2 linked regions of the Saccharomyces cerevisiae S288C genome follow. The protein of the gene in region 1 binds, or shares a complex with, the protein of each later gene. Each region holds a gene or a part of one and is shown on either strand. Other genes may lie near its edges.

Region 1 (4,035 bases):
CTGAAAAGTGCATCAGAACTCTTGCATTTCTGAGAAACGTTGTGCTTATTAAAATAATCATTATCCAGGGTGCCATCATGTGTTAAAACTCTACGCAAACCTTTGAAGCTTGCGTTACTCTTTGCTCTCGACCTAGTCGAAAACTGTCTAAATGGCTTTGACTGGTGTGATACTGTTGACGCATTAAGAGATGTTACATCAGTGTCTGACTTCAAAGTCCTTCCTCGATGAACCATAATTATAGTTACTCAGTAAGGATATATGATATATCCCAATATCTATGTTTACCTGACCCGTAAATCGATAGAATGTGCTAGTCCATTAGATGTTTGGATTCCTTAATCATCGTGCCAGCCAAATCGCTATACCATCCGCAACTAGCTATCCTTGCGGTTACCCGTACAAGAGTAAGCTCGGTTGATAAAAACAACGTTGAATTAGTCGTTTTTATATCCATATAGATGTATATATATGTATAGATGTGTTTGTTCGCCTCATTACAGTTATACTTTGGTTGAGAATAATATTGCAGTGTTTTGCGTTTATTGAATGGCATTAGTGTTATTTGAATATTTTTTCTCCCATAGTAGTAACTCTCTAGTCAGGTCGTCCATCATTGATAGACTTTCATTATAACCGTTGTAAATCGTATCAACTTTTTCTACGAAATGCTGGTTTTCCACGAATCGTACAAATTCCTCTCGATCAGACTGATCTTCACTCAATTCCCATTGAGTTCTAGAAATGAACTCCAAAATAGCGGATACCCTTCTTCTCATTTCGTTTAATGAGGTCCTTTGAGGGGGTAATCTGGGCTTTACTGGTTTGTCGGTACCTATATCAGCACTCCTTCTATTTTGGTTGGTGTCTGAACTTGTATTGCTTCGACGAGTTCTGTTGCCCTTTCTTGCTGGTTTGGAAACTCTTTTAGAACCCCTCGAACTAGCTTTCCTTGAATCATCCTCAGAAGAAGATATTGAGGTTAGGGGTAGGATGGGTTCATCAGTTTTCTCAGTGTCTTGCGCCGAACCCGTAGAAGATTCCTTTTCTTGACTAGCTTCTTTTTCCACATCATTTGTTTTTTCCATTGATTGCTCTTTCGATGGTCGTAGGCTTTCTTTCATATCATCATTTGTTACCGAGTCCGGTTTGCCTTCCGTTAGCATAACATCCGTTTGTAATCGAGTGGTGCCGTTGTGATTGTCGGTATCACCTTGGTATATATCAGCATCATTTTCATAACTTTCAGGATCTTCTTGATGTGATGTCCTCCTGCTTTCTTTCAAGGCTTTTTCAAGCATTCTTTGATATTGCTTTTCTTCTCTTGCCATGAAAGTTGCCCTTTTTCTATCCAGTAGCTTCTTATCACTATCTCCAGGATCCAGTGAATACTGATCGGTAGAAGCATCATCCATTGAATTCCTCCTCCTCCTTCTACTTGACCTCGTGTTGCCGTCCTTGGCTAATGCTACAGCCGAAGCTTCATCTTCTACTTCATCTTCTTCGTCGCCGATATCGTCGACGTTATCATCGGTATTGCTGGTATTTCTGGGACTTTTCTCTGCTTCATTGGCGGCATGAGATTTACTTGCAGCTGCACTTCGTGCCTTCCTTCTTGATTGCCTCCTTTTCTCTTGCACAGGTTTATAGATTGACCTTGCTTCGCCAGTATCTGTGGTAAAGAGCTGATGTAACTCCGGTCTGCATTGCTCGCACCAATATTTATCAGGTGCGTTGTCTTGAGTAATACTCACACAATAACCGTGCTGCCAGGAACTGCACTGCTCACATTGAATGAAAAATCCGGAGTCATCTGGAGTATCGAGCTCTCCACAGATACAGCGAGTTTCGCCTTCCTCTTCCTCGACTTCCCCCTCTCCACCTTCCATAGGAACATCTTCTTGTTTTACACTTTCTTCCTGTACACTTCCAATCGCCGCCGTTGTTGTCGCTGTTGATGTTGTTGATATAATGTCTGTGGACCCACTAGCAATGACTTCCGCTTTCTCCATATCTTCACTACCCACAACAGGGCCTTTAGGCACTATTGCTGTCGATTCCATTACTCTTCTCTATACTCCTATATGTTTATGCTATCTTTTAGTAAGGTTACGCAAAGTAAACTTCGAAGGAAACAAACTATTGATGGTCTCTGTTGTGAACTTTGTACCCCTGTAAATACCCAGTTACATAAAATTCATATACGAAAACCAACAAGAACAAAAAAGAAAAAACTAATCAACAAAACGTTATTTTTTGATCATGCAGTGAAAAGCCACCAATAGAAAATTGAAAATAGAAAATGCAGCTGATTGTGCTGTGCGGTTTACCTAGTTTACCCATAGCGGAGAAATTTTTCAAAACTAATTGATTACGTTAAAGCCTGTCTGCGACGTGCTCCGTCCTATTTCCGCAAGATGATGAGGGTAATGCCCTTTATAACTGCTCAAAATAAAAAATAACCGCCGAGGTCTTTTTAATTATCAAGGTTATAAGAAGTGCCAGAAGTGGGTGAACTTAACTCAATAAAAAAATATTAGTGACGAACATCTATCAAAAATTGAAAATTGAAGGTACTGCTCAGAGAAACTGAGTCTGGTCTTGCCTACATCTTTAAGAGGAATTTGTTCTGGTGTATTATTTATACAGCCGATAACATTGATGATACTCTCAGGGTCATTTTCACGTAGTCGTGCTTTGGTGAGTTGTATACTACCCTACGTACTTTTCACCGCTTATGTTTTACACTGGGGTCTGAATGATAGATTTAAGCCTAGCATACACATCGGCGTCTCACAAAAAACGACGCTGCTGAAAAAAAAAATGTAAGAAAAAAAAAGTGGAAAAATATGAGCATGAAAAAACTTCTGCTAGCGGACCTCATCGTTATTTAGCTTCTCATTCCCGCCAATTGAAGTTGCTCATTGAAGAAGAATAAGTGATTAAAATGAAGGACTTGTCTCATTATGGTCCTGCGCTATGTGTTAAATTTTACAATGATTATGTTCTAGCTGGTTATGGGCCTTTCATCCATGTCTATGACTATCATTCGGCTACGTTGATTAACAAATGTAGGCTATTTCACTACAATAAAGTTCATGGACTTAGCCTTTCTAGTGAAGGGAAAATTTTGGCCTATGGTGCAAGATCAGTAACAATAGTGGAACTTGAAGACGTTTTAAAGAAAGAGTCATTGGTGGATTTCGAAAGGATTAACTCAGATTGGATTACCGGTGCTACATTCAGCTTTGACAACTTGCAAATATATTTGTTAACATGTTATAATAAAGTGCTAATTTGTGATTTAAATTGTGAAGTTCTTTTTAGGAAGTCTCTTGGGGGAGAAAGATCTATTCTATATTCCGGTATAATTAAAGTTTTCGGTCCGGATAAAGTATATGTTAACGCTGGTACTGTAATGGGCGGTGTTATCATTTGGGACCTGTTCTCGGAGACAAAAATTCATAACTTACTGGGTCATGAAGGTTCTATCTTTTATGTTAATTTAAGCAACAACGGAAGATATGTTGCCAGTTGCTCTGACGACAGATCAATTAGACTGTGGGATTTAGAAACTGGCAAGCAGCTGTCTGTTGGCTGGAGCCATACGGCAAGAATATGGAATTTAATGTTTTTTGATAATGATTCAAAACTAATAAGTGTTTCTGAAGATTGCACATGCCGTGTATGGAACATTATCGAATCACGAGAAAACGTTGCCGAATTATCCATATCTAACGTTTACGAAGTACATTTAATCAAGAGTATATGGGGCGTTGATGTGAAAGACGACGAAATGATAGCTGTAACCTCCGGGAATGATGGTAGGTTAAAGCTGATTGATCTTCTTCAACTGAAGAGACACGGCGATGAAGAAACATCGTTCAGTCTAGATGATATCGCAAAGCAATGTGGCGATATTTTCGAAAAGAATGAAAGTATCAAGGGATTTCAATGGTTTTCATTCGGTGTAATTGCTATCACTTCATTGGGTAAAATACTTAAATACAGTGATGTCACGAAACAATGGAAGTT
Region 2 (4,117 bases), on another chromosome or scaffold:
TTTGCTCTTTGCACCAATAGATGTTACTCTCCAAATATCTTACAGGTCGTCTTCCACGTGGTATCTATCAAAGTAGCCAGATCCACGTCCTTGACTTCCGATACGACAATTGCTACTTGTTCCATATTACAAGGCTCATTACGGCCCTTGACCATGTAAAGTTCTTCTGCATTCAACTTGTCAGCGAGCTTATTTTTCTTAACGGACTTGAATGCAGGGTATTCGAAATCCCTAACCTCCTGGTATTTGGCTAAGTACTGGAAAGATGCATGCGTTCTTTTAATCTCACACCACGGAGCATCTGTCTCTAATAACAACCTTTCTGTTGGTATTTGCTTTACAACAGCTAGATTTTCCTCGGTTCTCAACGAGCAACCGTTTACTCCTATGAAGATGTTGGGTGATAAGTTCAGTAATTTCTGCAAATCTATCGCAGAACCAGTGAATGAATGGACCACTAGTTTTCTATCTGGATGAAATTTGTAAAACCCGCTAGACGACGATGCACCTAACTTTTGTAGCTGAAAGGTATCCCTCTCATCAGTGAACCCGGCAATAAATCTTTCCAATATTTGAACAAAATCGTCACATGCGCTTCTCATATGCAGAAACAATGGATAGCTGCTGAGTTTATCGTTCAAACAACTTATTTTCAGTTGCTCTTCAAAAAAAACCTTTTGCATCTCTTTAGAACTATAGTGAAATCTGTCGTAGTCCAACCCGATCTCACCAATTGACCTGAAACTTGTATCATGAGGTTTTGCTTGCTGATTCATCAAATCATAAAGCTCTTTCAGTTTACCCTGTGCAAAAGATGGATTACTAATAACTTTAGCATATAGAGACTCATTATATGCTTCATCCATGGAAGGGTTATCAATAGAAGCGCTAGCCTTGTCCCCTTGACTAGCATCCGCAAACTCGTTAACGCAACATGGGTGAACACCTATTGTGTGATACAGCTTTAACGGGCTAAGATCTTTGACGCTGCTTACCAACTCAATGGCACTTTGAGACTCCGCTATGGATGATCCTGTAACAAGGGCATTTTTCACGTGCCTCTGAGCAGCACGCTCTAATAATTTTACATAATCTGCTGGATGGTACTGCTTACCATTGTAAATACCGTGAAACATAGGATCTGTCAGATTCAATCCAATATCATAGTATTTCAGCGGAGAATCCGTGGCAGTTGATGTCATGCTATAATATTGTGTCAAAATTGGTTTCCAGAGCCTAGAACAACTTTTGTTCGAGGATTTCAATAAGATGCCCCACATATAACTATAACAGTACTGGCGCCTCAAAAAAATGCCTTGGCAGCGAAAGTGTCCACCTTTAGTTGTCCATTGCTACCAGGACATCACCACTGGGCCCTTCCAGCATGCTGGAAAGATTGTTCTTAGAAGAGTGCTGTTCTAAGTAACCCGGCGTTAGTAGGGGCTAAGCCTTCTAGAAGGCCGGAAAAGGCTCAGAAATGCCTGCAGTGCAAAGCTTTTCAGGAACGTTACTAGCGCAAGTCTTCTGGCTGCTGTTTAGCAACCTCTTTGCAGGTATTTCGCAGCGGGATTTCGCAGGTGTCTTGCCTAGCGTATCAACACTTAGTAGCAGTTAGGTTCTAAAGTTAAACTCCACTTCCGTTCTTCTTCGAGTTCCTTTTTGAGCGGTTTGGCCTATCTTGTCTCATCATCTTGTTAGTGTGCGACGTTATCTGTGGGTGAGAGAGGCTATTTTTGGTCCGGTGAAAAAAAAATTTTTTCTCTGCTGAGAGCTGAAATTTGAAAATTGAGATGAGATGCGATGCGATGAGATGCGAGACCAATGCGATGAGACACTTTTCTACTTCCTTACACAGAAGTCGTGTATAGTTTTTGTACGTTGATATTAATAAAGGCTTTTCATATCATTTTGTTTTCAGGTAAACAAATCTGGCAAATCTCCACTGCTTGAGTCATTAAAACTACTCACTCAAGAAGGCATATACACGACAGTGGGTAGAGAAAAGAATATATCACTGTTCTTATTGAAGTTCCCTCGCGATGACGTTGCCGAAACTCAGTAGCGTTTCTGTTTCATCAGGACATGTTAGTGCCAACTCACATGGTTTCTCAATACTAAGCAAACACCCTCACCCAAATAATCTTGTCCATTCCCACTCACTTTCTCACACAAATGCGAAGAGCCACCTGCCTATCAGTAGCACTAGCACTAAAGAGAACAGCACGAACAAGGAGGAGGCGGAATCACTCAAAAAAAACAACCCCTCTTCTTGGGACCCTAGTGATGATATCAAGCTCCGCCACCTGAAAGAGATCAAGAACTTGGGCTGGAAGGAGATTGCACATCATTTCCCAAATAGAACTCCTAACGCTTGTCAATTCAGATGGAGGAGACTGAAATCAGGCAACTTAAAGTCTAACAAGACCGCAGTTATTGACATCAATAAGCTATTCGGCGTGTATGCGACTGGTGATGCTACCCCATCCGCGGGTACTCCGTCTGCGGAAGAAGCCGTAAAAGAGGAAGCTGTTGAGGATGAAGATATTACTGCAGGTTCTAGTGCTATCGAGGATTCTCCACCGGATTTCAAGCCATTAGTTAAGCCTAAATACATGGACAGAAAACTGATAACTCAAAGATCTACATCAACATTTTCGGACCATGAGCCACAACACACGAAACCAAGGAAACTGTTTGTTAAGCCAAGGTCCTTCTCTCATTCTATAACAACCAACACGCCTAATGTAAAGACTGCTCAGCAGACAAATCTAAGCCTTTATAACACTACTTCAGCAAAGACAAATAAAGCTGTTAATTCCAATGATTATGAGAATATTGGTCTTGTGCCTAAAATTATTATCAGGTCTAGAAGGAACTCCTTTATTCCTTCAACTCAAATCCCTCATTCAACGACGAAGACTAGGAAAAACTCGCATTCCGTAATTTCTTCTAGAAGATCATCTTTTAACATGATGCATTCAAGAAGATCATCCTTCAACTCTCACGCTCCTACGGAGCCTATTTCTAGAAGAGCTTCCTTGGTAGTTAGCCCGTATATGTCACCCAGAAGGTTATCTACATCGCAATCCGTTCATTATCATCCACAGCACCAATACTATCTTAACCCCATAGCGTCTCCCAACTGCAAGACAGACCACGCAAATGACAAAATCACGCACACGAGGACTTTCTTAGATATGCAAAAATTCGCTAATAAACACCCGTGGTCTAGAGAAGATGATGAAGTGCTACTTAACAATACGAAGGACAAACAAAACCATTTGTCGCCGCTAGAAATTTCTATTGTTCTGCCTAATAATAGATCCGAGTTGGAAATCCAACAAAGAATGGATTATTTAAAGAGAAAAGGACGTGTAAGTGGTTTTCATACAAATGAAGGATGCAAAGACGAGGAGGAGGAGGATGACATTGACCCACTGCACAAGGAGAATGGCATTAACACGCCATCGCAGCAATCGCAAAATTACGGTATGTTAGAGGCTAAACATGATAATCCAAAGTCTAGTGAGCTTTCTTCTATGACCAGCGCAAATGACATACGCAATGAGCAAGATGAACTTCCAGGTATAAATTCTATCTTTAAAAATATATTTTAAGCTAAGAGACGAATTTAGTTTGTTTTGACTATTCGTTTAATGAGTACAAATTAATCGCACCCACACATGTACACACACACATATATATCTTTATATATACACATAAAATTTATTCGTAGGAGAATTCTGTAATACTATTGACTACAAGGGTTCTTATTGCTATTAATAATGTTACATGTATATGCTTATATCCAATATATACCCATCGCCGCTTATTCTTCGTCATCCTCTATTAGAGTTATTTTTCTTCTTTTTCTGACTCTCTCCTTCCTTATGTGGCTTTCTATATCGTTTTCATCCTGCTCTTGTCCTTTTCTCTTCCCATCCTCATCATCATCACTGTCTTCTTCATATGTGTCTTCCTCCTCATCATTTTCTTCTGATATTTGCTCATCCTCAATGTCATCATCAAGGGTAAAGTCTTCGTCTTCGTCTTCATCTTCTTTGGCGTTTTCACCTACATATAATTCAGTATCTACATCGTTTTCTACTTCATCCTG

Evidence for each region. Proteins that work in one complex are often made in the same cells at the same time.
Region 2: CTI6 (region 1) and TOD6 share a complex: the UniProt entries of both Saccharomyces cerevisiae proteins name them as parts of the RPD3C(L) complex.

Annotation. Positions count from the first base shown.
Region 1 is NC_001148.4:201,449-205,483, reverse strand, and holds CTI6 (Cti6p), read right to left. Parts: upstream 2,064-4,035; coding exon 543-2,063; downstream 1-542. Other genes in the region: TCO89 (Tco89p), read right to left, coding at 1-236; tRNA (34-2'-O)-methyltransferase regulator RTT10, read left to right, coding at 2,948-4,035. UniProt on the Saccharomyces cerevisiae protein: Component of the RPD3C(L) histone deacetylase complex (HDAC). Responsible for the deacetylation of lysine residues on the N-terminal part of the core histones (H2A, H2B, H3 and H4).
Region 2 is NC_001134.8:115,550-119,666, forward strand, and holds TOD6 (Tod6p), read left to right. Parts: upstream 1-2,039; coding exon 2,040-3,617; downstream 3,618-4,117. Other genes in the region: YBL055C (3'-5'-exodeoxyribonuclease), read right to left, coding at 24-1,280; SAS3 (histone acetyltransferase), read right to left, coding at 3,830-4,117. UniProt on the Saccharomyces cerevisiae protein: Component of the RPD3 histone deacetylase complex RPD3C(L) responsible for the deacetylation of lysine residues on the N-terminal part of the core histones (H2A, H2B, H3 and H4).